4 linked regions of the Oreochromis niloticus genome follow. The protein of the gene in region 1 interacts with the protein of each later gene in a biochemical or structural test. Links are inferred from orthologs where the notes say so. Each region holds a gene or a part of one and is shown in the gene's direction. Other genes may lie near its edges.

Evidence for each region.
Region 2: the proteins of ube2m (region 1) and smurf1 form a complex in vitro, tested with the Homo sapiens proteins (2 studies listed by BioGRID). The link is inferred for Oreochromis niloticus from reciprocal best matches to the Homo sapiens genes UBE2M and SMURF1.
Region 3: the proteins of ube2m (region 1) and cand1 form a complex in vitro, tested with the Homo sapiens proteins (2 studies listed by BioGRID). The link is inferred for Oreochromis niloticus from reciprocal best matches to the Homo sapiens genes UBE2M and CAND1.
Region 4: of the proteins of ube2m (region 1) and nae1, one has a biochemical effect on the other in vitro, tested with the Homo sapiens proteins (4 studies listed by BioGRID, with this or other methods). The link is inferred for Oreochromis niloticus from reciprocal best matches to the Homo sapiens genes UBE2M and NAE1.

What each region holds. Positions count from the first base shown.
Region 1 is NC_031969.2:34,663,979-34,671,431, reverse strand, and holds the start of ube2m (NEDD8-conjugating enzyme Ubc12), read left to right. Parts: upstream 1-4,446; 5' UTR 4,447-4,616; coding exon 4,617-4,731; intron 4,732-4,737; exon of another isoform or gene 4,738-5,103; intron 5,104-5,178; exon of another isoform or gene 5,179-6,407; intron 6,408-6,478; coding exon 6,479-6,573; intron 6,574-6,895; coding exon 6,896-6,934; intron 6,935-7,453.
Region 2 is NC_031969.2:10,628,752-10,636,128, reverse strand, and holds the start of smurf1 (E3 ubiquitin-protein ligase SMURF1), read left to right. Parts: upstream 1-4,363; 5' UTR 4,364-4,593; coding exon 4,594-4,648; intron 4,649-7,377. UniProt on the Homo sapiens protein: E3 ubiquitin-protein ligase that acts as a negative regulator of BMP signaling pathway. Mediates ubiquitination and degradation of SMAD1 and SMAD5, 2 receptor-regulated SMADs specific for the BMP pathway.
Region 3 is NC_031981.2:19,952,398-19,959,344, reverse strand, and holds the start of cand1 (cullin-associated NEDD8-dissociated protein 1), read left to right. Parts: upstream 1-3,943; 5' UTR 3,944-4,210; coding exon 4,211-4,278; intron 4,279-6,947. UniProt on the Homo sapiens protein: Key assembly factor of SCF (SKP1-CUL1-F-box protein) E3 ubiquitin ligase complexes that promotes the exchange of the substrate-recognition F-box subunit in SCF complexes, thereby playing a key role in the cellular repertoire of SCF complexes.
Region 4 is NC_031965.2:17,375,352-17,382,584, forward strand, and holds the start of nae1 (NEDD8-activating enzyme E1 regulatory subunit), read left to right. Parts: upstream 1-4,216; 5' UTR 4,217-4,323; coding exon 4,324-4,373; intron 4,374-4,794; coding exon 4,795-4,898; intron 4,899-4,986; coding exon 4,987-5,047; intron 5,048-5,134; coding exon 5,135-5,165; intron 5,166-5,276; coding exon 5,277-5,348; intron 5,349-5,883; coding exon 5,884-5,963; intron 5,964-7,010; coding exon 7,011-7,120; intron 7,121-7,233. Other genes in the region: ca7 (carbonic anhydrase 7), read right to left, coding at 1,667-1,864, 2,374-2,410. UniProt on the Homo sapiens protein: Regulatory subunit of the dimeric UBA3-NAE1 E1 enzyme. E1 activates NEDD8 by first adenylating its C-terminal glycine residue with ATP, thereafter linking this residue to the side chain of the catalytic cysteine, yielding a NEDD8-UBA3 thioester and free AMP.

The sequences.
Region 1 (7,453 bases):
CTCTGTAAGAAGGCGGCCGTCAGGTTACGGAGCCAATTTAACGCAGTTTAAACCTGATGAACACGCCTCCCTCTCCTCCTCCTGACTGATACTGACTATTGATCAGGTTCAGCTGATCGATAACCAGAAGGAGCCATTGGTTGTTGGTTTTTTTTTCCTTTTCTCACGTGGCACAAAAAACATTTTATAAGAATAAAACCAAAACGCCAACATGCAGCTGACATGCTGTTCGCAGCAGCCTCACGGCGCTGCTCGATTAATTAATCGTCACTTATGTGGTTGATGTTAACAACATTTCACTGTGTGGACAGACGCGATTGATCTCTGTACCTTTATTATTTTTAAAGCAACTGTTAAGCTTTACACTTTGTTACAGTGACATTAATTTGATATTTTATTGTATAAACCCAGTCGCACTAAAAGTGGCTGCAGAGCATTAAAACACATATTTGCTCTAACGGATAATTACTTTCAAAAAGCTTCCTCTGTGTAAACGATGATCAGTTCAGGGTCTGGTGCACGCATTTGTGGAGCAGTGTCAGCTGTGCCGAGGTCACTTCCTGTGGACTGGAGTGTGTGTTACAAATAAGCCGTAAACATCTGGCAGTCTCAGGTTATGTTCTCTTCATCCTTGACTTCAAACTGTTCAGTTCGTTGGTAAAAACAATAAAACTTTCTGGAGTCAGAGTTCAAAGTTCACCGCGGGGAGACCAAGAACACGCTCCTCACAACAACTCTAATCAGACACTAGAATCCCCCTCAAAGCTGATTATGAGCGGCCTCGGTATGAGCAGTGAAAGGACTCGACAAAACCTGTTTTATATAAATCTGCTGCACCTGCTTTCCCATCAGGTAAAGGTGAGTGCACAGCAGCTCACCTGCGGACAGTTTATTTTGTTCCAGTGAGACAAGAACTTCCTGGGGTTTGAGGGGCAGAGTGTAAGGCCATAAAGTGCATCTTTGCAGGTTTACAGTTGCATAAATCCAACAGGGACACAGTGTTATTCCAAAAAAGATGCAAAGTAAAAGAACCAAAAACAGCAAGCAGCCCTCTGCAGAGCAGCCACATGCTTAAAGAGTCAACATTAATATTTAAACCTGTTAGGTGGAACTCGACCTACTGACATCACTAAGAGACCGGGTCTGCTTAATTATCAGGTCCAAATCCAGGTGTTTTTAAATCCAGGTGTTTTGGTTGAACAGGCTGCTGAGCCTGCTCTGAACCTTCACTGTGTGTTTCTTTCACGTTACTTAGAATATTTATTGTATTTTCTGGGTATTCTTGCGGCTGCTGTAGTCTCAGAGTGCCTGTCAGTAATCAAGGGAATACTATTCCTGACATTAAAGCATGAAAACGGAGAGGGTGAAGCAATCCTGCTTCCTGTGTTTAGCTAACATCCCAGGATCGTTTTCACCAGCTTCCTCCTTCCAGGCCAGCACGAGCCCACAGAAACACCTGTATTAGAACATCACCTGAAACGCGATTTTCTAATTAAACATGTGACGGAAACAGAGGCTGGCTGCAGCTAACAGCAATAATAATGAAGATGCGCATCTGGCACCGTTTGGAGATAGCCGCTAACAGCTAGCAGCTATCCCGTCACAGTCACCTACAGCCAGCCTGGGCATACCTGCCCCGACCACACACCTGTACATACCGTCTGCCCCGTTAATTACCTAATATCACACGTAGGAGGGCAGCCCCCCTTCCCTTCCCCTCCCCTCCCCTCCCCAGCCTCTCCTAAAACATTAACGTTAGGCGTGCTAACACGCTAGCACGCTAGCAGCCCGTCCGCCCCCTCCAGCAGCTTCCTCTTTCACGCTGTCCCCGCTCCGCAGCTAGCTGCCGGACAGGTGTAGGTGAACAGACCCGACCCTCACGCACCCTTCCCCGCTCACCTCTCTGAATCAGCTCGCATGCTCCTGGGTCGCTCATTAGAATCGGTATCCGCCAACAATCAGCCCACGTTAGCCCGTGCTGAGCGCAGCTAGCCGTCCGCTTCCTTGTTTCTTCGCCCGCCGCTGCTTCATGCGCGTGCCATCCCGCTGGCTGCCGCTGGCTCCGGTTCTCCGGGCTGGCCTGCCTGAAGGACCGCGGTGGTCTAACTGTGTCGATAGAGAACGGATGGATATCGGTGAGGCGGAGGGCGCAGTCGTGCCCATTCACTCCCCTCTGCGTCCGCCTCTCTCTCTGCACTCGGTCCGCCTCGCTCTCCCCCCCGCAGCGCGTTCCGCGTGCTCCGCGGCTCTTCCTCCCGAGGGGCTCCAAAACACACACAACGGCCCGTTCCCGCCGCAGCGCGGCGCTTTCAACGCGTTCCCGGTGATACTCCTCCGCACGAACTAGGCCCGTTCGCCGCCGTAGGCTGGGAAAGCAGCGCCGCGCGCGGCTATTGTTCTGCGACTCTATTGTGTGGCGCGAGGCTGCGGTGCTGCGCGTGATTCGGTTCAGTGTCGTGAATCGGCCGGTGGCTCGCGGGACGTTTAACCCCGCATTGATGACATCATGCAGGTGACCGCAGAGCCCGCGCGCTGCTTCAGCCTCGGACAGAGACGGAAAATAAAATAAATAAATAAATAAATAAACCGCTAAATAAAATATAGGCACAGACGATATACACGCCCCGCCTCTCCGTGCCACGTCACAGTGCGGAGGGCATTGTGGGACTTGTGGTTGTCCCGCTTTCCCCCAAAAAAGCGTCAAGCTAAAATGTTTTTTAGCACACACAAGACATTTGAAATGTAATAGAATATAGAGATCAGTAGAATCCAGAAGAAAATGAAATTAAAGGTAAAAAAGATTAAAAAATGCAGCAAACACATGCACATACATGTTGGTGCAATAAAAATGAAATCAATCAACAACTAAAACATGCTGGTGAATAATTTTACAGCTCATAAAAACCGAGATTTTTATTTTTATAAAGAAACACAACAGCGCTGATTCTTGTGTTCACCACAGGGTTTATTCACAATACCGGTATGTCTTATAAATATTTTATTCCATAAAACACGTTTCATTTTTCGTTCCAGCTTTACATTAGATTTGATTTACTGTGTCATTTTTTCCCAGTGCATGTCTTCTGTTTTTATTATTTACTGCCATAATTTTACATTTGACTGTGGTCACTGTCTGCTGTATGAACAAAGTCATGTGATGTGTGGAGTACTGTTCTATAAAGAGAATGAAGCCCGTGAGTGACCTTCTTCTGTGGATTCAGACACTCGGTTATAAACATTTCCTCAGAGGGCACAGTGGCTCTGTTGAAAGTGGATCTGTGATCTGAGCTCCAGCTCAAACCTGAAGGTTCACGTCTGTGACGACGAGCTCTGCTGATGGTGTTCTGACTGAGTGACAGCCAGCTGGACGTTTCCTGGCATAAAAACGGGATTTATGCTGATGTTTGCTGAAGCTGACCCAACTGTGTTTATTTGGTCCCGAGTTTGTAGAAGTCTGGGTTGGAAGCATAACTCACAGATGCTGGGACTCCTCGCTGTAATAACTGCAGACTACACTGAATCATCACACTGCTGTTTTTTATTTACAGTGTTTTTAGTCTACCTGCACTTTCTTGGTCACATCCACCTGGATCCAAACTGTCAGCAAAAGGTCAATGTTTTAAATTCCACCTTCCCCTGTGCTGCCATATCAACCCCACCTGTACTTACAGGCAGACAGTTATGGGACTCTGATTTAATACGAGCAGACTGCACGAAAAACTAGTTTTATTTTTGCAAGGCTGAATTTCTGCAGACTGCAGCAAAGGTGAGCACAGCCAGCATGAGCCTCACTGACTCACCTCAGGCTGATTCTCAGTTCAGAGACATGAAGTTGACTTTTAGATGAACGTCCTGCAGAGTCTGTCTCGGCATGCTTGGTTCGGCTCTCCAGCCTCAACATGACACTGATGTACACATGCATGGATCAGCAACCACAAGCCAATAACATAACTTGTGATTCTGCATAACGAGTGCTTTTACTTTGTCTGCTTTCAGGACACGTGCCGTCTCCATTCCTGTCCGCCTTGAACAGCTTCAGCTTCGGGTCACGACCCCTACAGCTTCAGAAGGAAGAGGGTAACTGCATGGAGCACCTGTCCTGAGACAGGAAGCCTACACGTCCACATCTCCACCGGGCTGAACTGGAACAGCAGCACAGAGGCCGGAGGTGCTGAGCACGCTCTCCTCCCTCACTGAGGAGACAGCTGTTCATCACAAACACCTTCAAACTCATGTTCAGGTGCTTTTCATCACTTTTGTTGAACCCAGAGTTTTTAAAGCTGGGTTTACCTGCCTGTGGCCCCCTCACTCTCTCCAGCAGCGCCCAGACCATCTCCCGATTGTTTTCTTCTGGCACCAGTGGACTTTCATGCGCTTCAGAGCAACACACACACACACACACACACACACACACACCCTCTGCTCCCCTCCCCTCCCTCCTCCCCCCCGCTAGCCAGCTCGCTGCTAGCTCCGCTGCTAGCTCCTCCTGCCTCCGTGATCAGACGCACCGGCTCCATTCACATCACGGTGCTGTTGGGAAACCACCCCGCTCTCAGACCCTCTCAGACCCGCTGACGGCTCACAGAAGGGACGCCTCGTGTGTCAAATAACTGAAGATGATTAAGCTCTTTTCCCTGAAGCAGCAGAAGAAAGACGAGGAATCTGCTGGAGGAAACAGAACCGGAGCCGGGGGCAAGAAAGCCAGCGCGGCCCAGCTTCGAATACAGAAAGGTAGGCTCTGTTAGCCGAGAGTTACCCACCGGCCACGGGCCGACACCGAACCCACGGGACCCAGGGCTCTCAAACCCAGACCCGGTGTTGCTGTAGCTCACTCGGGCTAACGGCTGGCCGACTAACTGCGGCTGAAGCTGGTGTTAGCTACGGCTGCTAGCCCGGCTGTGCTACATGAAAACAAAACGCAGGCTAAAGGTGTTAGCACGCAGCTAGCAGCAGCTAGCAGCTAACAACACGAACCCGGAACACATCTGCTAACAGCTAACAGCTAACAGCTAACGCCGGACAGCCGTAAACACTGACGGCTAACGGCAGCTAGCCTCTAACTGCTGTGTCAGTTCCGTGGGGTCCACTTCTACTCAACAGCAGGTGAGGTAGGAACACAGGGACTCACTGGAACACCTGAGCACAGCGCCCACCTTTCTGACCCGCTATCCTCCTCAGGTGCAGGTCAACCCGAAGGGCTGCCGGGCGACAGGTGAACGCAGATCAGAGCCCGGCTTAGACTGCAGGGTTAGAACCAGGCTGAACCTGTGTGGTGGATCACAGTGGACTCTGAGGGTCCTGCCTGCCTGTCAGACGCCTTGTGAGTCACCTTGTGTGGGTGACCAATAGGAAAACAGGCTCAGGTCCCTATTCTCAGAGTCCAGCTCACCTTATCAGGATCTGTCTAAATTATCAGCTCTGTCTGTCTACTTTGCAGCATCTGACCTGGACAGGTCTGAATCCCTTCTCAACTTCTAAGTGATCTGCTGGAATGGGCCCGCTGTTTTCCATGGATCTGATTGGCCGGTTTTCGGTGGTTTCACACCTTTTGGTCTCTTATCTGGAGGATAATCGGAGCAGGAGTGACACAGGCCAAAAGGCTGGGCGTTGATGCCCCAGCCCCCGGACACCAACCACCTACTTCTTCTTCTTCTTGCCTCCACCCACCTGATGAATGATTTATGGGGTCGCAGAGATTTGGGGTCCTCAGGGTATCTGTAGGCCCGTGGTTCTGGGTTCCAACCTGTGTTTAGCATCTCTCTGAGACCTGAGCGACCACCTGGGCCCGCTCTGTCCCACCACACGGGATCAGTGCAGTTCTGAATATGGTCCAGATGTTTTGGTGCCTTAAACAACAAAAAGGGATCCAGTGGTTTCAGAGTCACCCCCTAAACCTGCGAGAACATGTTTTTGTTTTTTACATTTGGAAGTTGTTCTTCCACATTGGCAAAAAAGTTTTGACACATAAAAGTTGATTAGATTTGTTTCATAATGGTCCTTTTATTTCTTTACCTCGTGGGTCTAGGCCGTTATTTCTCATTGATGCTCATCTAAGTTGATTAAGGAGGTTTGTGTTCTTTTCTGGAGGTTATTGAGATTTTGGAGATGATGACATTTTTGAAGTCCTAAAGAACACAATATGTGGAGATTTTTAAGAATATTTAAAGAGGTCCAGAGGTTTTAGAAGTCATTAAATGCCAAGGTGAAATGGAGAAATGCTGAAGGAGGTCTTGGAGAAGGTCCCAGTTCTATCTGAAAGTGTTACAGATGTTGTTCTGGACTTTTAAGTCTTTTGGGACAGTTCAGAGTCTCTTGTGTCAGCACTGCTTTTTCACAGGTCCTAGCATACAGACAAGGTATTTAGAGCTCCAGATGTTTTCGTGAGCCTCTGAAAAGTGAAAGAAGAAGAGATGAAGGAGGTCTTTGATTCCCGAGGACGAATCAGAATCAGTAACACCTGCCTGTGTTTGTTTTTCAGACATCAATGAGTTGAACTTACCAAAGACGTGTGAGATCAATTTCCCCGATGATGACGACCTCCTCAACTTCAGACTCATCATTTCACCAGACGAGGTGTGTGTGTGTGTTTTCATTCAGAGACGTGATTGCATAAAAACTTTATTCCTCTCTGACTTTGAGGACAAACACCTGTGAGAGATGCAGGTATGCATCAGTAACACGAGCAGTGCTGTCTGTAAAAGCAGTGAAACACCTCCACCTGTGAGCGCAGGTCCGGTTTCAGACGCTGCTACACCAGAGCCGATTGTTCCCACTCATGTGGCACACAGGTGTATGAAACCTCAGGATGTACAGAGTGAGGATGAGGGGCTGAATCGGGAGATGAAGATGATGCTGAGCTAACGAGTCTGCCTCTGTTTGTCTTTTTGTGTCTCAGGGTTTTTACAAAGGAGGAAAGTTTGTCTTCAGCTTTAAGGTGAGAAACAGCCGTCTCTCTTTCTGCTCCACCCTCGTCTCCACTTCCCTCTGAGCTCTTTAACCTGAAATAATCCTGAAACAGTCTGACCCTCAGCAGCCTCCACTGGTCTTCCAACAGGTCTCACCTGTGTAAAGTCCGGCCCACAGCGCCCTGAGAACATCAATAAGAGGCTCACTAATGTAGCTCCATTAGTTAATCATCACTTTATTTATAAATTTGGCTTCCAATGATGATAAAATCACTTTTTTCTTCCATTTTCTCCACGAGGCTCTTGTTTTCTCTGGTGTTATAAATCAGGTGCCGCCTTTCACTCAGTGTTTAGATGTCCTCATGGTTGAGCTGTAAGAAGTGAAAGTCCTGAGGTTTCTGCAGGTTAGCCCATAAAGGACTAGCAGGTGGATTCCTCTCTTAATCGCTGACAGACTCGTGTGACGTTCCACGGTCCTGCAGGTCTCCCGAGTCCACCTGGTCTTCCTGCTGGCCTGCCTGCAGACTTCCTGCGGTGGCGGCTGCAGG
Region 2 (7,377 bases), about 24 Mb from region 1:
ATAAACTCACAATTTTAACACTGAAGCACGATGAGGGACAGATGTTAATCCAACTCCAGATGCTTTTCTTTCCAAGTTCCACCAATGTCCACTGCTTTCACGGTGGATGGGCTCAACCTTTGAGGAGCAGTGCACCAAAGTATAAGACATGACATTTCCTGTTCCCAATAGGTGGCGCTCTGACTATTCCTGACAATGGGCATAGCAATCTGTTCTGGGTGGGAGTGTTATCATGCCTGTGAACTTTGTTAGCGATCGGACTGAATTTCTTTTAGTTATAGCAATTTTGTTCTTCATGGCGAAACATCGAATTTCGCTAATCCGCCGGGGTTTGACGAAAACTCACAGTTTTCAGTGTAACCCAAGACCAACTCCTTAAGGCTTTTACTGGACAATTGTGAGGTTGCTGGGGCCACCCACCTCTATACTGTACCCCAAAGTGTAAAACATGACATTTCCCATTCCCACTAGGTGGCGCTGTTGCTGATGTCAAATATAGCACATCTTCAGGGGCGGAGCCTTATTATATGTGAGATGTCTGGAGGAGATCGCAAAAAGTATGTGGAAATCAGACGCTTGCTGAAAACATCTCAAAACAAGTGGAGCACTGTGAGTATGACGGTTAAACTTCTCACGTCAATAAGCCCGGGCTAAACTAGGCTAACTTTGTTATAGGTAGTTTAGTGCTCTTCATTATGGGGCGACGTTTGTAAACTGAATCATGCTGAAATTAATGGCAACATTTTTCCACATTTAGCTCAAAACCTTACAAAAACATGTTTTTTCGAGTCATTTTTTACAGAGTGCCTTATCTGAGACTTTAACATGCTTATGGCGGAGTGTAACAACTCTGGAAGAGCAGTGCACGGTCTGGACAGAGGGACCTTCCTAAGCATGCTGCACAGGATCTTTGGGCTGACTGATGACAGGATCACGGGTAGAGGTATTCAGTTTACAGTTATTTATATTTATTTATTTATTTACAACCCAAGTTCCAAAAAAGGTGTGACGTTGTGTGAAATGTAAATAAAGGCAGCATGCAATGATCATTTTGAATTTGCATAAACTGTAGATGCAATTTTTTTTTGTAGATTGGCAAACCTCGACCCATCTTTACTTCTGAGGAACTCCGTTTCTCAACGATGCTGTTTTGGTTTTTTTTCAATATATATCCAGTCATGTATCCAGTCATCCTCTGTTGGTAAAACCCTATGTTGACTTTTGTTAGTGACCTACTGCCAATTAACCTAAAGTTGCAAAATGTTTCTCTGTTTCTTTTTTAGTACCACTTACTTTTGCACCCTACTGTTGCCTTCTCAGCTGTCTTGAGATATGTTGGTGCCATCAAATTCAAACTATTAGGAGACGTGAGTCGTCGACCCAGAGTTTTGAGTTTTGTATTGTACTTTGAGTTCTGCCTTCTAGTTTCTGATCTGTGTTCCTTAGTTGCTTTTTCTCCCCTGTCTGCTGTATCCCCTCGTCAAGTCCGCGTTTCTGTGTTATGTTTCCTGTTTTAGTTTGAAGGTAAAGTTGCATTTCAGTTCACCTTTTTACTCCGTGTGTCTGCACACAGCCTCCACATGACAGAAGATCGCATCCAGAACATGGACCTAGCAGACCGTGAGCTGTATGAGCGTCGGGAGGCAGCCTTTGGCCAGCTGGAGGAGCTCCGCTGGAAGCCCTGGCGTGCTCCTGACTATGATCGTATCGTCTATGGTACTCGTGTACTTAAGCCCTGTGTTTTTCTTTGGTCTTTGGTCCTCCACATGACACAAACAGAGCTAATATTGTTTTTGAAATAGTAAAATGTCAATAAAATGGTGGCAAGTAAACTAAATCTCCAAATTATCAACAACAATTCAACAATTTCTTCAGTACGAACAATTAAAATCTAAAATTAAATCCAAGACATGTTGTGAGTGTAACTGTCTGTCATTCAGTCTTCACTACATAAGACAAAGACGGCGTTGTCGGCATGGAAGAGTGGATTGAGGGACTGTCTGTTTTTCTTCAAGGGACCTTGGATGAAAAAATTAAATGTAACTCCTCAATCATACTTTTTTTACTTAAGCTCACTCTCACACCTTCACATATGTAACTTATCTGCCTAAAAAAAAATTCCTGTGTTTGGCTGACATGGTAGTTTTTTCTGTCCTCTTTCTGTTCCTTTTCTCTCACTTTGCAATAATAAAATGAGACACAAAAAAGTCTTAACAGATGAAAAAAAATACAGCTGAAAATAAGTATTCTTCAGAACTCGAGTGCAAAAATCCACATCATTTAAAAATGATTGTGAAAATGTACAAAGAAACAATGAAAAGATGTAAAGTGACTAGTTGTGTGTGTGTGATTATCTTAACTTGGGTTTGCTTGGACTAAGGTGGAACTAAGTTGTTGTTCATTGGAGTGGTGGATTTTGAGAGACAAAATCTAACCTATAGATATAAAATTATACGGACTTAGCACACATGCAGCACACCACCATAGAAACTTTTCTCATCCATGTGTTGCTTTGCTGAGCCGAAACAAAACCAAATTATTCCGAAGGTTCTTCAGACTTTGCCAGTTAGGCATAATGAACGGAAGGAACTTTACAAAGTAGACCTCTGTGAACTCTTCGGCAGGATACTCGTCCAGGGGCCGGTACTCCTCTACAGCTCCATAGAGGGCACACAGCTGAATCAACTAAGTTATAACCCCAATTGCTGGGACCCCTTGGACCATCACGTAACGACTCTCTAAATTTATGGTGTAAACCTGCAAATAATGCAACACTTGACTGTGGTACAATGGTGCGAAAATGTTTGTGTGAAAACTGCAAATAGTGGCTATATTTATCGCCCATATCATACATTTTACAGTGGTGGCACATTTCTGTGGAGGCATTTTGGACTGTTTAACCCTTCTGAAACTTTTGAATGTTTTCCCAAAGTTTTGGGGATCATCAAGATGTGCTGTGGCGGATGTGAGACAAGGCTTTTTGTTCTTTGTGGTCAGCAGTGGTTTTCTCATTGGAACACTTCCATGGATGCCATTTATGCCCAGTCTCTTTCTTATTGTTTAATCATGAACTCTGACTGAGGCGAGTGAGGCCTGCAGTTCGTTAATGTTGTTCTGGGTTCAGTTGTGACCTCCTGGATGAGTCGTCGATGCACTGAATGTTGGTAGGCCAGCCACTCCTGGTAAGGTTCACCACTGTTACAAGTTCTTTTCCAATTCTGGTTAATGGCTCTCACTGTGGTTCACTGGAGTCCATAAAATCCAGAAGGGAGCAAATGCTTTTTAACAACAATGTAAGTGACGTTCCCCTGTAGCAGGGGGTGTCTCACACCTTAAGATACCCTCTTTTGGTCATATATTTCTAAACAGAAGCATCTTCTTACCTTAACTGCTTTGGCTGCTGGCCTGGCACACACAGACCATATCGATCGACTATGAGTTTGTTTGCTAACACACTTGGTGTTAGCTTGCTTGACGTGTTGAACACGAAAAAGAAAACTATGTGAAAATTGTGTTTAGTAATCCTGTTTAATCCATAGCTGTCACTTTTAAAAAAGCAAAAAAAATGCTTTTTACACCACCCCTTGAAGCTAATATCCCTGAACAAGGTGAGACAGCTTAGCTAACAAACCACCTAGCAGTATCGTTTCAGCAAAATTATTGAGTTTTGTTGAACTCAATAATTGTTGTTAAACGATTTTTAGCTAAATGTTGGCCCGTTCTGTGTGTTGTTCTATTTTTGTATTTTTTTAACAAAATGAATGCTGCTGTAAATTAAATGGCCCAGGTGTGTAGTTGACACTGACCAAATATGAAGCTGATCTGATCAAATCCCTAGGCGTTCGCAAAAGTATAACGCCTGGAAATGGCAAAATCGGCGCCAAAATCTCACATTCAATTCAAAATGGTGGACCTCCTGTTGGGTTTGCGTTGATGGGCCCAATTATTTTTTTCTTCGTCTTGGCATGTTACACGTGTGAGCCAAATTTCATTCATGTAGCTCAAACTATATGGTCATAGCACTTTATTTAACAACGCATAGGTGGCGCTCTAGAGCCATTTTGCACCGCCCATATGCGAAACTATTAAAATACCAAAAAATTTTTTTACCAGACCTGAAACGTGTGCAATATTTCTTTATTTTTTCTCTATTTTTTTGAATATGTTAAAGCCCTCAAAAAGCCACTTGTTTTGTCTGAATAATAATAAACGGAGCAATTCCAATAGGGTCTTCGTACTTTTAGTGCCCGGGCCCTAATTACTGAAGTAAAAACCAAAACAGAATGTCTAAAGACTTGAAAGAATCTGATCACCACGGGCACGCCCACGCTTCCCGGAGCGAGCACGTACTGTACAGACACTGAGAACAATACGTCAGTACGTGCTTGAGCCTGCCCGAAAATGTTCTCCCGTGTTGTCGGATTTCGAAGGAGCGCAAGACTTTGCGGTGAAATAATACATTTTTATCCGTGAGGAAACCAAAAGCAAACCGCATGTGTGGAAACTGAAGTTATTCGCAGTTCCATTACTTGGTGAAACTGTGATATTGGCTGGCTCGAACGGGAAGTTTGTGTGATCGTTTTTCCCGGAGTGATGTCGAATCCTGGGAGTCGGAGGAACGGGTCCAGCATCAAAATCCGACTGACAGGTAAAAGCGAGAGCGAAAGAAAGAGCTTACTGTGCACGTTTAAACCGGAACTCAGTGTTTGCTCGGTAACGTGTTGATTTTAGCAAACCTAACGAGACGACGCGAAGTGTCTTTGAGCCTCTCGAGTCTGCTGTTCGCCCAAACATCCGGTTTTTGTGTGGCAAACACCAGTCGAGTGCTAGCTCGTTAGCTTAGATGCTAAGTAAATTACCGAGAGGACAGCCAAGGAGCTGTTCACTGTCCTGTGAGTTTTGCAGCTGAGACAGGCGACTAGTCCACTGGTCTTGGTGAATGCCGACGCTTGAAAGCCACGTTCAAAAACTTTATCAACCACTAACAGTGGCTTCTTAGCCTGCTAGCTAATAGTAACATTGTGGTTAATGTTGACCGCTAGCGCTTGCTAGCTACACCCTTTTTTGGGGGTGCTGACCACCAGCCGAAACCTCCGCTTCAGCCGAATGCGGCGAGCTCTGTAACGCGGGGGGGAGAGCAAATGTCGAGCGGCAGCCTGTATGAAAATTGATCTCCCGCTAGATTTGACATCCTAGTCCGGATTACCAATGAGTATCGATTGGCATTTCGCTGCTGTGTCAGCTGTAGCTGCACAAATGTCGGACTCGTTGAACTTGTCCCCACTGAAGGAAGTGCAGCATGTTTGTTCTTCAGGGGTCATTAATTCAACCGAATTGAAATATTTTTTATTTTATTTTTCAGTTTGTGGGTCGGAGTCTGCCCTGTAGGTCATATAGAAGTTTCCTCCTCCGCTCCACATACAGTCACAGCTGGAACAAAGGTTCCTACTGTTGATAATGTAACCCCACTGGGCATCCAGGGGCCTCTATTCAAATGGAAATGACCCATCTGAGCCACTGAGCAGACGCCTTGTCCCTCTGAGTCAAAAATGAGCAATAACACACACTAAAATTTGCTTTCCGTCAGACTAAATATTTCTTTGTGTGGTTTTCATGGAGCATTGCAGCAGTGTACTGCAAAGGTATGATTGTGATGGATGTCTTTTAAAGCAAATGCCTGTCAGCACTGATGAGGTGAAGTGCTGGCTGAAAATGCTCCCCACATGCTGTTTACTTACTGACTATTCCTCTAAGAGTGGATTTCAAGAAATAAGGACGGGAATCAGACTAACAGATCCAGCACACTTCGTCACTTATCCCACTGTTTATACATTTCAGTTTGAGGTTATCTGCGCTTGACGTTATCACCGAGTCTCACTTAGCCACGTAGATCTGCAAAAGAACAGTTCACCACTTCTTTTGTTTGAAATAATAACAAAGGACTGATGTCACTCTTAACATTCAAGAGTGACACTGATGTCACTCTTGACATTCAAGAGTGACATCAGTGATCAAAATAGATTATATCATTGTATCTACTGTAAGCGGGTATTTTATATACTACTAAGATTGGTAGATTAACTGATAACAAATCATTTTAGTCAAAATCAGTTAAAACACTGCAGTCATCTGGGATTATAATAGATCGTGTCCTCTTATGGTAAAGTTTACTGTAAGCGACTCTGGTAAAATAAGCTCTACAGGAAGTATGTTATCATAAAGTGTTTCATCAGATGAGTTAAGACGAAAGCAAGCAAAGAAGGTATGTGTGTGTATACTAGTCAACCATTTTTCAACTTGTATGCAACCAGAGGTTATTGCCCCTGACTGTGCCCCGCCTCCACAGGTATGAGTGGAATTCTAATTGGGTAAGGAATGTGCAATGAGCCAATGGGAGTGCAATGCTGCCAGGCTGGCCAGCTCTGTTTAGTCTGCCAGAAAGAGTTGGTTGTCCCCCCCCCCTCTCAACATCAGTATATCTGAAAAGCATGCACGTGTGTTTGTGCAATAGGGACATAAGCATGTTTGACACTGGGTCAGATCTGAGAGACTTTGTTGTGTTTACAAGTGATTATTGTGTCTTCCTGTCTTCGTTATCTTTTTCTTAAGCTTAGGTATTGCTTTGAATAACATGGAAGAACAAAGGAAGTCAAATACTTAGTTTAGTTTTTTTTTCCTTTTCATTATTTTGAAACTTGTGTAATGCGGTATAGACATTAGTTTAGGAAGCAAAAGGATACTGGTTGAATTCCAGCCAGAGACACATGAATCCCTGGGGTTGCATTATGTTGGGCATCTGGCATAAAACTCTACCAAATCAACCTAGTGCATCCACTGCTTGTGAGAAGGGAACAGTCAGAAGTAGCTTCTGTATTGAAACCAATGTAACCAAATTATTTATGTCGTACACAGTGTTAAATATTTTGAAAAAAGCACCATATGTTTGATCATATGCTTATTTTGTGAGTTTTGATACCAAAAACTTGCAACTGTAGTAATATTTTTTTTTTTTAAAAACACACTACAGCTAGCTGTTTTTGTTTATCTCTGGTTTTTGAGCGTGTGAAACATAACATTTGAATGCAAAAATACGGTCAAGGCAAGATGCAGAACATAAGTAGGTCAAAAATAGTGGAGAAAAGGGTGTTTTTGTTTGTAAGTGAATGGCGTTTTATTGTGGAAAATGCCATGAAAGGAATTAAAGAATCAGTCATTCAGTAGGATAAAGTTAGTGGACGCAACACGTAGAGCAGGGCGATATGACCAAAAATATTTATCACGATATACATTTGAAAATTTGCGATAACGATATAACTGACGATATAATTGATACTAGACAAAATACTTTACAACTCCACAACTTTATTAGTGCAAAAA
Region 3 (6,947 bases), on another chromosome or scaffold:
GGAACCCCTTTCTGGAATACTTTGTGAAAGCCAGACTGGGCTAAACTGGACACAGATTTGTAAACTCTCATCTATCCCACCTTTTGGTATTTCTGTCCTGTGGTGTTTTGTGATGTGCATGTTTATTTGAATTAACTGTTTTTTCTGTAACACATCGGAGCCAGTCTGTTTTTGTTTTTGTTTAATATTCTGAAAATCTAAAATAAAATTATCCAAAAAAAAGAAGTGGAAAGTAACCCTGCTGGTTTCACTTAGAACAGAGGTTCAATCAGAACATCTCGTACAAACTGAGAAGTCTTCTTCTTTTTCTCTTAGCTCCTTCCTTCAGGCCTCTGCACAGAGGATCATCTGCCCCCATTTACATCCTATGCAGCAGCATATATGTTCTCCTTCGCTACGTCCACTAGATCCCATCTGTTCCTCCTGTCTGGCAGCTCCATCTTTGTCCAGTATATCCATTCTCTCTCCTCTGCACGTCCAAACAGCTCAGCCTGAGCTGTCCCTCAGACATTTAAATCTATCTTCACTCCCTCTTCTCCTTGTATCGTCACCTTTCTACCTGCCTCCCTCTAAAACTCATTGTGTCTTTCTTCGCCTGCCTTTCTTTCTCTCCCACTGCCTCCTAATATGCCTATCCCTCTCCTCTTCCTTTTCTTCCTTTATCACAGTTTCCACCAGCACCTGCTGACCAACAGCATTGAGGTAGTTATTGGTAATATGGGCTCCGACTGATGCACTATGGAAATTTCATTCTCCTTGACCCATAGGTGTGTTTTAGCAAAGATTATACACTTGATGCGTCCTTCCTCATTTGTTCTACATTTTTCATGCATTTTGAACTGTCCTGTAGATTCACACAGTTAAGCAGCTCACACGGAGGTCAGCCCGTGTAATACAGCTGATTTTTTTCTTCAGATCAGGATGTACATGTTTCTGATCTGATTAAAAATGTTCTAACTGTGCTAAGCACTCAACTTCAAGGAGTTTTTCTCTTCATTTACCTTTGTGATGTCACCAAGAGCAGCTATTCCTAATATGGTCATCTCAGGCTGAGGGGGAGGGGCTAAAACAGCCTTTTTAAGACAGAAGATGAAGTGAGGGACTGCCCTGTGAATCATACATAGCTGCCCTAGCAGAATCCAAGGATAAAATACAGTCCCCATTTACTAAGAGCAATATTTAATTTCTCCTGAATTTCACACAGACGACTTTTAACATCAAATAAAATCCAGATTTACTTTTTAATGTTCATATTTACACAGTGAGACTCACTGTTTTAGTCCCTAGAGGATCTTACAGTACACCTCTGTAAACACTCATGTCCTCACAACATCAGTATTACACACACAAACACACACACACTGAATTGCATACTGAATGCATTCAAGCTACAAAAACAGCATCCTGAATATCCTGACTGCGTCTCCCGCATGTATAAAATTACTGTGTGAGTGGTGATTCATTTCTGAGCAGAGGATAATATGCTCAATATAGCTCTAAACACACACAGGCACACGCACACATACACACACACACACACACACAGTTTACAGGTCCTGTTAAAGGGTGGAGCTCTCACTGAGGCTCTGAATAAAAACACCTGCTGCAGGTGAATCACAGCATTGAACACTGCTTGTAAAACTGATGGATTCAAGAACACAGTTTAGTCTAGATGTTCTCAGCCTGCAGTTCCGCTGCAGCGACAGTGGGTAAACCTGAGGGGCCGTGAGAGGATTTCATGGAAGCGAATGTGAAGTTACATCTTAAATATATAGAGCAGAGCAGAATGACTGAAGGAGGCAACTTTTATGTCCTGATGAGGGACGTTTTTGTTTTGTTTTGTTTAAATTTCAAATATTATTCTGTTTAACTTTTATGCAGAAAGTTATAATTAGAAGATAAAAAAAATCATTTTATCTGTTGTGTCTTTTATTTCTGAAGTATGAGTTCAATGACTGAGGCTGTGTTTTAAATGATCATTTAGTATCTTTATCTTTTTTTTTTTTTTTTTTTACCTTTCCTAACGCTTCATTAAAATGGCAAAACAAATCTCATAAATGAAATAAAATTTTTTATTTCTCATCATCTACACTAAATAACTGAAAGATTCTGGAGGAATCTCTGTGCGCAATATTGGTCGCCTGTGATCTTCGGGCTGCTTTGAGGTCAGACAAAACACAATAGTCCCCAGCAGACTGTTCACAAAGCTGAGGGATCTGGGACTCAACAGCCGTCTGTGTGCATGGGTGTTGGACTTCCTCACTGGCAGAACTCAGGTGGTGAGGGTGGGTAGATGCGTCTCTAACAGCATCACTATCAACACAGGAGCACCACAGGGATGTGTCCTCTCGCCACTGCTCTACTCCCTCTACACTTCAGACTGTGTGGCCACCCACGGCTCCAACACCATTGTGAAGTTTGCTGACGACACAGTGGTGTTGGGCGCCATCTCAAGAATAAAGCTCTTCAGAGAGTGATCCGTACAGCAGAACGCTGCTGCAGGATTGCTCTCCCCCCGCTTCAGGACACCTACACCAGGAGATGCTGGATTAGAGCAGCGCAGATACTGAAGGACCCGTCCCATCCTGGCAACAAACTGTTCCAACTTCTGCAATCCGGTAGAAGGTTCCGCATCATCCGGGCAAGGACAGAGAGACTCAAGAGGAGCTTCTATTCCCAAGCCATCCGGGCCCTAACCCCCCCCCACACACACACACACACACACCCGCCCTCTCACATCATCCATAAGTGACTGAGACAGGACTCTCTTCCAGACACTCTAAACCCACCGGCGCAATGTACATTTCAAATTCCTTTAATTTTAGATATGTTCATATTGTCTATTTTGTAAAATAGTCAGATTGTCTATTCTTATTTAATTCACTTAATGTACAGAATTCACCTGCTTGCTGCATACATGCTACTACTGCACATTCACCTAATGTATATATTATATATAATGTTCTTCCTCTCCCTTTCGCACAAGTCGAGGAGCGTGTCAGGTTACATTTCACTGTGTGTTATACTTGTATAACTATACATGTGAAGAATAAAGAACCTTGAACCTTGAAATCAGACTTTTTAAATTCTTTTTGGAAAACACAGATGCTAAATAGAAGAGGGACCACCAAGCTTGTTATCAGCGCTCAGTTCAAAGCCTGCATTTCTGATGGTATGGGGGTATATTAGTGTCAATGGAATTAGCAGCTTTCACATTTGGAAATACACCATCAATGCTAAAAGGTATACACAGGTTTTAGAGCAACATCTGCTCCATGGGACAACATTCCTCTCCCAAAAGTTCCAAAAGTGTTCTCCTCAGTTCCCAGATGTTTACAGATTGGTGGACTCCTATCAACACTGGACATTATCCCTGATGACTGACTGTCACCTCCACAGTGAAATCATTAATCTTATCTCTGCAAGTCAGTTTTTTTTAAGCTGACATCTTCTTTGCCTGTTCCTCTTGCCTGGCAGCTCCATCTTCAACATCCTTTATCTAATACAGTCACTATCCCTCCTCTTCACATGTCCAAACCATCAATCAGAGAAGGTCGCACTAACATCTTGTGAACCTCCCCATTCACTCTTGCTGCTATCATTTTATTACTTTGGATGCCTCGCTGTTTTTTTTTTAAGCTGACCTCTATTTAACTATTTTTAAAACTATTTTTTTGTGTATCACTACTGAATGTTACTGTGCACGTGATAATAAAACCTCTTAATCTGATTCTTTTTGACCTCAGTCAAAAAAAGGGAATAAAAAAAAAGATAAAATGTCGAATCTATGACTTAAAGACTTTCAGTGAGTCGTTTTAATTCACACTTTGGACTCGGGGTGAGTGTTTCATGCTGATTTTCATTTTATCTGGGGTAAAATGACCTTTTATGAGGGTTTAGAAAGACAAACTGACAGAAAAATTGGTCAAACTGTGACCTTCGACCCCGCATCGTCCAGCGCCGCTAACCCCGCCCCTCTGCGGAGAGAACGGGAGCTCCATTCAAACACACCAAACTGGTCGCCCCGGGATGCGACAGTCGCTGTAGCTGAAGAGAAAGGTGGAAGAAGAGGAAGAAGAACAGAAACATACTCTCTACCCCCGAAATCATCCGAGCAGGGCGGTCACACAGCCAGCCAGAGACACCAGAGCCCGCAGCCGGAACATCCTCACCGAGCGCACTCTGCTAGTAGGAGGCTAACAGCACCAACATGGCGAGCGCCTCGTACCACATCTCCAACCTGCTGGAGAAAATGACATCCAGCGACAAGGATTTCAGGTAAAACAGCGCCCAGGTGGAGGGATCTGACCGTCCACTGTTGTTTATCGCATCGGAGTGTTTTTATTTCGCACTGAAAGCGGCGCTTTGCTGCGGCGGGCCTGCCGCTCTCAGGCTAACAGCTAGCATGCCACCTGTCTGATCATCGTCACATCCGCGGTTAGCTGCTAGCATTAGCAGCTAGCCTGCAGGCTAGCGGGCTAGCACCAACTTCTGTCAATCCGCAGGCTAGCTTAGCATGAGTGACGGCGCTCTTTGCTGTGGATTAAAATGTGAAGGTAGCCGCCCTGCTAGCGGGATTTCTCCCGGGAACCGGGCGGGTTTAATGTTAAAGTGTCGCTCCAGCTAACGGGGGTGTGGTGACGCCGGTAAACAGACGGAGAAGGTCGGAGCTTCAGCCTTGCACTCATATAGACCCTGTCAGCGTTAAAGGTGTCTTATTCTGATCCCATCTCTGTGGTTGTTTTGTTTTAAAACTCAAATCAGAGCAGCTTTGCATGAGTCACAGTTCAAAATAAGCCGGCTTTGTCTCTCACTGGGCCTCGGTACAGCCTTGCAGTTCATCCTCCCTGAAATAAGCTGTTTTAGCGCCACCAAAACAGCTTATTTCATACAGAAAATTGGCTATTTTCAGGAAGGAAATTAGACAAACGACTTGTTTCAGACAGAAGGTAGTTGTTTTTAGACAGTAAGTGGCTTGTTTCAGAAAAAAACTGCTAGTTTCAGATGGGAAACAAATAGAAACCATTTGTGTTAGACAGAAAATGCAGGTCACAGAACTTCTGGGAATCTGCTTTCTTTGATATTGTACTAAGTCAAGAGTAGAGAATGAACCACTACTGTCCTCTGAGTGATCAGCTTTTAGAAGCCTGCTGCGGAGCAGCAACCAGCACTTTAAAAGATCGTTGTAACTAGAGTGGCAGCACCCTTTGGCTACTGGACTGAGTTTTTATTGTTTTTGTTGGAGTAAGAAGAGACCATATTTAGAAACATGGAAGCTGCATCAGTACAGTGTACAGGGTCAGCATACCTGCTAATTAAAATCCAAATTAAATCTTCGATTTAGGTTCATCTTTAACCTAAACTGGGGCTCAGACTTCTTGGATAGTCTATTAGTATGATTAACCACACAACAGCCATATTATTAGTCAGATAATTTCATTAAAGATGTTCAAAAATGCACAAACACTCCAATCCAGAGGTCTAGTTCAGACAGCTAACAGAGGCCAATAATGCACACTTTAACCCTTAATTGAATTTAATGGGATTTAAACAGGTGAGTTATATTAAATATACTCTCCATACAGTCACTATGGAGAAAGAAACTAGCTGTAGAGGTTGTTTATTTCTGCTGTAAATTTGTATTCTAACATGAGAGTTAGAGGAAGTGCATTTTCTGGCGTTTCGGTGTTGTCTTAAGTTTTCAAACTTTGAGGTTTGGTGTTTGGCTAACCACGGCACTCTGATAAATCACAAGCAGTGACATAGGTTTACAAATTATCACCTGAATGCTTAAATTCATTACAAAATGCATTCACCAAAAATACCACCTTAAGAAATAAGGAGACTGATTTAACCAAGCCTTAAATTATGACACACCTGCTGCAGGAGATCACTGAAGCTTTGAAGATGTTTAATACAAACATTAGTGTGTTTTGTAAAAAGTTGTATTTTAAGGAAATAATACAGGATCTAAAATTGACCCCTGTGGTACACCACAGGTAGTGTAAGCTGAGATGATGGTGACAGAGCATGTTCTTTGTAGAAAATAAGTGTGAAGCCAACAAGGGAAACTCTTGGCCAACCTCTTCTTCCTCTTTGTCATTTTCAGGATGACATAAAAAGCAGTTGCTGCTTTTTAACTGATTACCAACTGCATTTTTTCCCACCATCATAGAGCTTTTAACCACGGAAACCACAGAAACTCAGGGCTAAAACCTACAGATATAAATGACAGTATCTGAAAAACAAAGGGAGTTCACAAAAGGCCTTCTTGCTGTTTTCTGTTGCTGTTTTTCATAATGTTTAATCGATTCATCTTCAGTATAATCAGCAGGTGAAATTGAAATGCTGCAGTCGCAGCCTGAACTGAAGCTTCAGATTAATGAGTTTATTAACAGGCAGACTGAAGTCACACAGTTTGTATTGATTATCTGCAGCTGATATCGTCTAGCAAACAGTGAAGGCAGATGAAGCGTCTGACAGGAGGTCCGTTAGCGCCAGACAAACATAAATATGCAATGATTTATTTATGTTGGAGTGTTAAAAAATGAGCTTATAAACTGATTTGACAGGAAGAAGAACGTCATCAGGCCCTGCTCCAGGAGTTTGTTAATCCTGAGCTCGGGGAAACTGGGTTTTCTGGTTCACAGTTAACTTAAACTCTCTGCCAGTTACCATGGTAACAGACTCTGTGAACTAAAACTGTTCTCTGGCTCCTCCCTTCTTACTGCATCTGAACCAGCTGACTCAGTTTCATTTCCTCATTCATGAAGTCACCGCCAAAGATTGGAACGAATCCATCTACAGACAATTTTACAAACACTGAAATCCCAGTTTAGGTGTTAGGTGTGTTTTATACTTTACGTGAGCGCTTTTAAGGTCAGTCACTCGTCAATATATGAGGGCAGATTCTGCGATTACATCACTGATTTATAATCAAGCTCAGA
Region 4 (7,233 bases), on another chromosome or scaffold:
TTGACTTAGTTCAACTCTTGCTAACCTTCTCTATACTGCTCCATAGTGCCTTAAAATGACTTGTTGCATGCATAAATAAAATAAAAGTGAATCTGAATATCTGCGAGGGGATTAGAAAATGTCATTTCATGAGAACACATCACAGAGTATCCTTTGTGTAGCTTTACATGAATGTCTGACATCATTAGTCAACACCCAGGAGGTTTCAAATCATCGAATTTCACAGTCAAAGCTGATATAGAAGCAAAGTCACCTATGTCACCTATCACATCTATCAGACCTCTGTGGCACCAGCTTAAGCTTCAGATGCAAATTGCCAGTCCCATGCAAAATCAAGATTAGGATATTTTTAACTTATTTTTCAGATTCAACAAGGGTGAATAATAACTTTAATCTATGTCACAATGAGAATAGGAGACCCTGCAGACTGCTTTAAGTGCCTGTGGTATGCATTGCTGGATGTGGACTGGATGTGGACTTCTTCACTGTTATTATGATTGTTATTCATTGTGATGCTGCTGACATCGTTGTGACAAAAAGGATCAGATGATTCAAGGTCACATTAGCAGTGTATGAGTGGCACAAAATGTGAAAGAATGATCAACAATATTATAATATTGTTAATAATATGTAGATAACATTTTACACTACCTACATTGCAGTGATACATATTTATAAATGAATAATGTGCCGAGTCAGGTAGTTAAAGATAGCAATGTTGTTGTAAATCCTGACCTTCGTAACACTACTGTTAACATCTGTCTGTGGAAAGAAGAACATAAACCACCTGCAGTTGTGACTAGTCTTAAATCATGTTAGCTATTGTAATTCTATTTTATTAGTACAACTCTGAATAATTTAACAGTGTGCACCTGTCTCAATATAACTGCTTTGGTATTCCCAAAAAGTTGATTCTGTTCATCTGGATGTGGCATTTTCAGAGGGACAAATGTTTTGTCACTCATCCAAGTGACTTCTGAATAAGATGTGTAATGGCAAACAAACAACGGGTTTAGAGGATTTGTGCAGAACATTTGAAATACAGTGAAATGATGCTCAGGTTGTAGTGGATGTCAGGGGTTTTTTTTGCAGGTGTTTTATTTCATCATTATTATCAGTATTTCAGCAAAGAGCCATTTACTTGTTTTGTGTTAACCGTCAGAGCAAAACAGCGCACTTTTCCGAGCTCATCATTCATGCTAATGTCAGGGTGGTTAACACAGATCCACCCAGTGATAAAGACAAATATTGTCATCATAACCACTGAGATCATCCAACATTATTATATTTCTTGTCCAGCAGACAGACAGTCATGCAGTTAAGTGCTGCTTGCGCTTTCCTGCAGCATAATAAGAGGCTTATTTGCAAACTGTGATAATAATCAGTTTTACACGTGGTTTTTGCTTTCGAGAAATCAAGGGAAGGATTACTGGAAGTAAACTTTTAGCACAGATTTCCCCCTCATGTAACTGGCAGCAGATGTCAGACTGAAGATCAAGTTTGTCTTCAGCGGCTATTATAGTTACACGGCAGTTGTATAAAATTCTAAAATAGATATGGGCATGTTTGTAACACACATAAAATCCCTGCCACTACAACAGGTAAAAGTGGAATGAGAATATTGTTTGATTTAAATTCACTTCAAACAAAAGTACAATTTTCTCACCTGAACGATCATCTGAGTCATTGAACTCCACAACTACGGAGTGTCCATTGTTGGAGATGTTAATGGAGGTGCAGTGGTCGTAGTTTATCATTAAAGGGCCCAGATCGCGGTCACGTGAAGCCTCATTGGGGACAATATCAATTGGTGATTGCCGGTTCCCCTCTGCAACGGGGTAGTTTTTATACCATGAAGAAGGACCTATAGGAGAAACAAATGTAATCAAAAACAGACACATTTACAACACACACAATTCTGCAATCACAATGATCTGCACCAGATCTGTTAGTGTGTCACCTAACAACAAACCTGCAACTAAACTAATGAAGCTTTCTCCCCCGCGGCCACAACTAAAGGCTGGTGGCACCACCTAACCTTGGTCCTAAACAGGTATGAGGAATTCAGATAGACTGCCTCATTAACATTAAGGCACAGTAGCACAGCACAGAATAAGTTTGTTTAAGAACATTGGACAGAGCAAAAATAAAAATATTACACTCTCTGTAACTCAGGGAAAATTCAACTGGACTGTCAGACTGAGGTGAAACCGTTTATCCCTTTAAGCGTGGGGCTAATCTGGATTTAAATGCCGTCTTTAACGTCTGAGTAAAACACGAAGCACCGCAAACAGGCCGTTTATTCCAGTTAAATTGCTAATTGCCTCCACGCAGGAAAACAGTGCCTGGAGCTTGCATGTTGGAACATCTCACCGTCCTCCTTCCCGTATCCCCAGTGATGTCCCGTCATTGTCCCTGTCTGCAGGTTCCAGTCGGACCAAGCGGCACTTCGTTGCGCACGTGAAGGACAGGTAGGGACATCAGCGGGTACAACAAGTTTACGGGGAAAGGGGAAGGGCAAGTATACCTCTCTTTGTCACGCCCACAAGTGTGCGCGAGCGCACGGTCATTGCACGCTAAATACACACCTCGTTGAATAAAAGAAAAATTAGCAAAATCAAGAATGTGATCTACTAAAATCTAAAAACATTCTGTTGCTTTGGTGAATAGTTTAAATAGTTTATTATACAGTTTATTCTAGTTTAAATTATACTGCGCATGTATAAATGCCATTCTATACAGTTGCACTGCCTGAGACTTTTTAAACATGTCACTAGTCCTCATCCAAAATATAAGCCAGTTTATTTACAGCAGTTTTTGGTGCCCTTTGAGAAATCTTCCTCGCACTGCTTCCATGATATAGACATGCCAAATCAGTATTATTTAGTTTGTGCAATATTTTTTTTGTTAATTGCTGCTGCTGGTAGGTTTGGGATCTTTATTAAATTAAAAAAATAATAATTGTCAAATTCTTAATTAGATGTAATATTATTCATCCGAAACCTTGGCCCCGTAGGAGTTTAATGTCACATTTGAGCATTTTACTAACATACAGATGTACTGTAGTCCCCCTTTTTTTCTTTATGTATTTCTTTCTGCTTCAACTCTATACTCTAAGCTATATAATATATTTTGTAATACTCTATTATATAATAGAGTACTTTGTACTCCATACCATTTATTTTATTTTATTTTTTTTACCATTTATTTTAAAGCTTTAGTTACTTTTTGAAAAAAATTGTTAAAGATCCCAGGAAGACCCAAGTAATTACAATCATAAACACCTGCAATGGTCCAGTGATATAATGTGTATGATTCTTACAGAAGCCATTTTACATGACTATGATTACTTTAGGTATTGAAAATATATTTTGGTTTTACACAGGTTGCACTAATAATAAGTTTACTTAAGTTAAAAAACTAAAAGACTATTTAACTGTGCAAATAATTGTGTTTAAACTCCTCTGTAGCATTACTTTTCTGGTAGTAAAACTGTAACTGTTTTTTGTGAGTAACATCATCTCTAAACCATACTTCACAGCAAGTCTCACTGCCATGTTGTAAACCTTCATTTTCACTCTTTCTGCTATCCCACTGTCATAAATCACCCTAACACTCGTCTCCAGCCACTCCACCCAGCCTGCGCTCTCTTCTTCACCTCTCTTGTGCACTTGTTTGGTGCCTTGGTTGACCCCGGGTATTTAAATTCTGGGTATTTAAACTCATGTAACTTCACTACTCCTTGCATGTGCAAAGTCTCCCTCTCGTTCACACCCACATGTATTCTGTCTTGCTTCTACTGAGTTTAATTCCTCTTCTCTCCACAGCATACCTCTACCTCTCCAGGCTCTCATCCACCATCTCCCTGCTCTCACCACAGATCACAGTGTCATCTGAAAACAGCATAGTCCACAGAGACTCCTGCCTGACCTCATCTGTCAACCTGCTCATCACCATAACAAACAAAAAGGGCTTCAGAGGTGTAATGTGTCATCTGTCACTACTACATCTAAACAGACAAATAAATTAAAATCCCTAAAAACTACCCGAAATCAAATGAAAAAAAAAATACAGAAAATAGTGAGAAGAAAAAGATAAAAGACGGTCTGCTGAATATGCACAACATAAATATACAAATATAAAAGTGAATAAAATTCTGATTTGGAATCAATAAATATGTTATTTCTAACACAATATTAATTATAAAGCTGTTGATCTGTGTCGAAAGTGCAAGAGCGGATTTTCGAGCGGGCACTTTCGTGTCGAATCTGGCGCTGAGGAAGTCAATTTACGTCCATTAACGTCACTCAACACAGAGCTATCATGGCATCCACCAAAGCCTCGAAAGAGCAAAAATACGACCGACAGCTCAGGTTAGTTTAAACAGCAGCGTAGTTTTCACAAAGAAATAACATCCCTCTAGCTAAACGTGTGAGAGGTCACAGCAGCAACGCTGTTGGGGCAAGAGTGCTGAAGCTAGCTAGCGTTAGCTTGCTATGAGAGTTGCAGTTGAAATAAGCACCGGCGAGCTAATGCATTAGTTAGCCGTAAGAGTGATGTGACTGATGTGATGTTATGCTCTTTGTTTCTGTGTGGGCTCAGGTGTCACCCTGTTTTAACGTATTTATGAACAGCTCTTGATGGTTTAACAGGTGTAATAATACAGGGCTGTCGATGAGGGTGAATCTTTCTTACCAGCAGCCGAGTCATTCTGGGGAAAGTAGCTCACTGTGTTTGTTAGCAAGTGAGGATAAATGGCAAATGGCAACAAATGTTCGTGTTGTGTGCTTTCAGGCTGTGGGGTGACCACGGCCAGGAAACACTGGAAAATGCACACGTGTGTCTCATCAACGCCACGGCGACGGGAACGGAGATACTGAAGAACCTCGTACTTCCAGGTGAACACCTTTTCCTCTGTGTTAGTGACCGTGCTGCAGGTGATGGTGAAAACATCTGTCTGACTGAATGAATTGTTCTGTGTGTCAGGTATTGGAGCATTCACCATAGTAGATGGGCACACAGTCACAGGTGAAGATGCTGGAAACAAGTAAGTGGTTATGTTTAGCTTAAAATATTTTTATTCTATCAGTTTTACTCGCCTGGTTGCAGCTGACCTCTTAATCTCCTTTTGCAGCTTTTTCCTCAGCAAAGACAGCATTGGAAAGGTATGCGTTGCTGGGAGTTTCCATTTTCTCCCAACAGCTCTGTTGTCCTCTTGTTGAAGTACGCAGTGTATTTCCATATTTGTTTGAGTTCTTATCGTACTTTTTGTGCAGAACAGAGCACAGGCTGCCACTGAACATCTGCAAGAGCTGAACAGTGATGTCTCTGGAAACTTTGTCGAGGAGGTTGGTGTTGCTTCCCTTCCAAGGCAGTCTTGGCTGTTTGTAATCATGTGTATCATCTGTAGAGTAATCACATGGCAGCATGATTACACACACAAAAAAACCTACCAAAATCACTTATCACTATGGCTGTATCCAGCTATTTTTATTTAAATGTGTTGCACAGCTATTTTATTTTCAGCTAAAGATCATGAAATCTTAACAAGATTTAGCAACTTGTTTCAAATAATTTACCAAGAGGTCAATATCTGAAGAGTAGTTAAGTGTATGATGAAATTATTTGACAACATGCAGGTATTAACCACATTAACTTTTCCAGCTGTTTTCAAAACCTTAATAATGTTTGAGTAGAAATTTAAAACATCCACAGTGTTTGTGATGTTGAAATGAAGAAGATCTTTCTGCACCATGACACCAAGACAAATCCCACAAACTTGACAATAAACCCAACTCTGATTCAGATGAATGGAACGTATGGTTTGTGAATTTATGACTTTTGCCACTCTGAAGCCACTTGTAATTTCTGTCACTCCTGCAGGGTCCAGATAAGCTTTTGGACAACGATTCAGAATTTTTCCACAGGTTTACCATAGTCATTGGTGTCCAGCTACCAGAAAGGTATGAGATCATCTTAATCCTTGCATTCATTTACAGTGCTGTGCTAAAATCTTGAGACACCTGTCATTTCTTTATACTGTGCTAGGAAAATAGAAAATTGGTGCAGTGTTTTGAAACAGTGTACAAACATACATGGAAATGCAGCGTATAAGGAAAAAACAGTTTGTGCTATTCTAACAAGCTTGAAAGTCAACATTTGGTATGACCACCTTTATTCTTCAACACAGCCTGAACTTTCTTAAGTAAGCTTTCTTGTCATTTCTTTAAGTAGTCTTGAGGAATAGTTCTCCAGGCTTCTTGAAGCACATTCAAAAATCTTTCATGATGATGAAGAGCTTTGAATGATGAAGATGATCCCACACTGCTTCAATAATGAGGTCGGGGCTCGGGGAAAGCCAGTCCCCAACTGATAATGTTTCATTGTGTGTTTTGCTTTTACTACAGTTCGAAGTGTGTTTGGGATCATTGTCACGCTGAAATATGAAGAACGGAAGCTGATGCCAATTTTCCCCTATTTCTTAAGGATAAGACTTTCAGATACTGTTTATCTGCTGTCACAGTCACTTCTTGTCCTCTTCCACCTGGACACATTCGGCACTTTTCAAGGACTCTTAGGCTCTTTTGAAGTGACTTTGCTGGTTCAAAAAAAATTTTTATGTTGGTCAAACTGTGTTCTCTTCGGCATTTCTCATAGGTCCAACTACAATGATTTGGAAATTGTTTAAAAAAGATACAAGAAAGTCTGACTCCTTGGAAGTAAAATGATTCAAGCCTTTTCCACTGTACTGTAATACTGTAACAAAGAGCTGATGAAGAAAACTACGGCAGTCCATGAGTCATTTATTCTTAGAGAACGTTCATACATATCTATTGCAAGATTTTCCAATCAAATTAAACATACTTCATTGTCGGGCTGCTTTTAATATATACTTTTTTTCTTTTATGTAAAATGTTAACTCTTATTGCAGAAAGTTTCAGGACTGACTTAATTTTCTTGCTGGTCTTATTTTCTGTCCAAATATCTTCACATCTCTTCAAATCCAACAGCACGTGTTTGAGGCTCGGCTCAGTTCTTTGGAGTGCCTCTGTACCTTTCCTAGTCTGTAAGACCTACGGCCTCATTGGCTACATGAGACTGGTGGTGCAGGAGCATACAGGTAAGTCGCTCTTAGCAGCAGTTTTCTTCTTTAAATCCTTTTTATAGTCTTGGCATTCTTCAGTTTGTATGTCTAACCTGATAAGTTCACTTTTCAGTGAACTTGGTACGAAC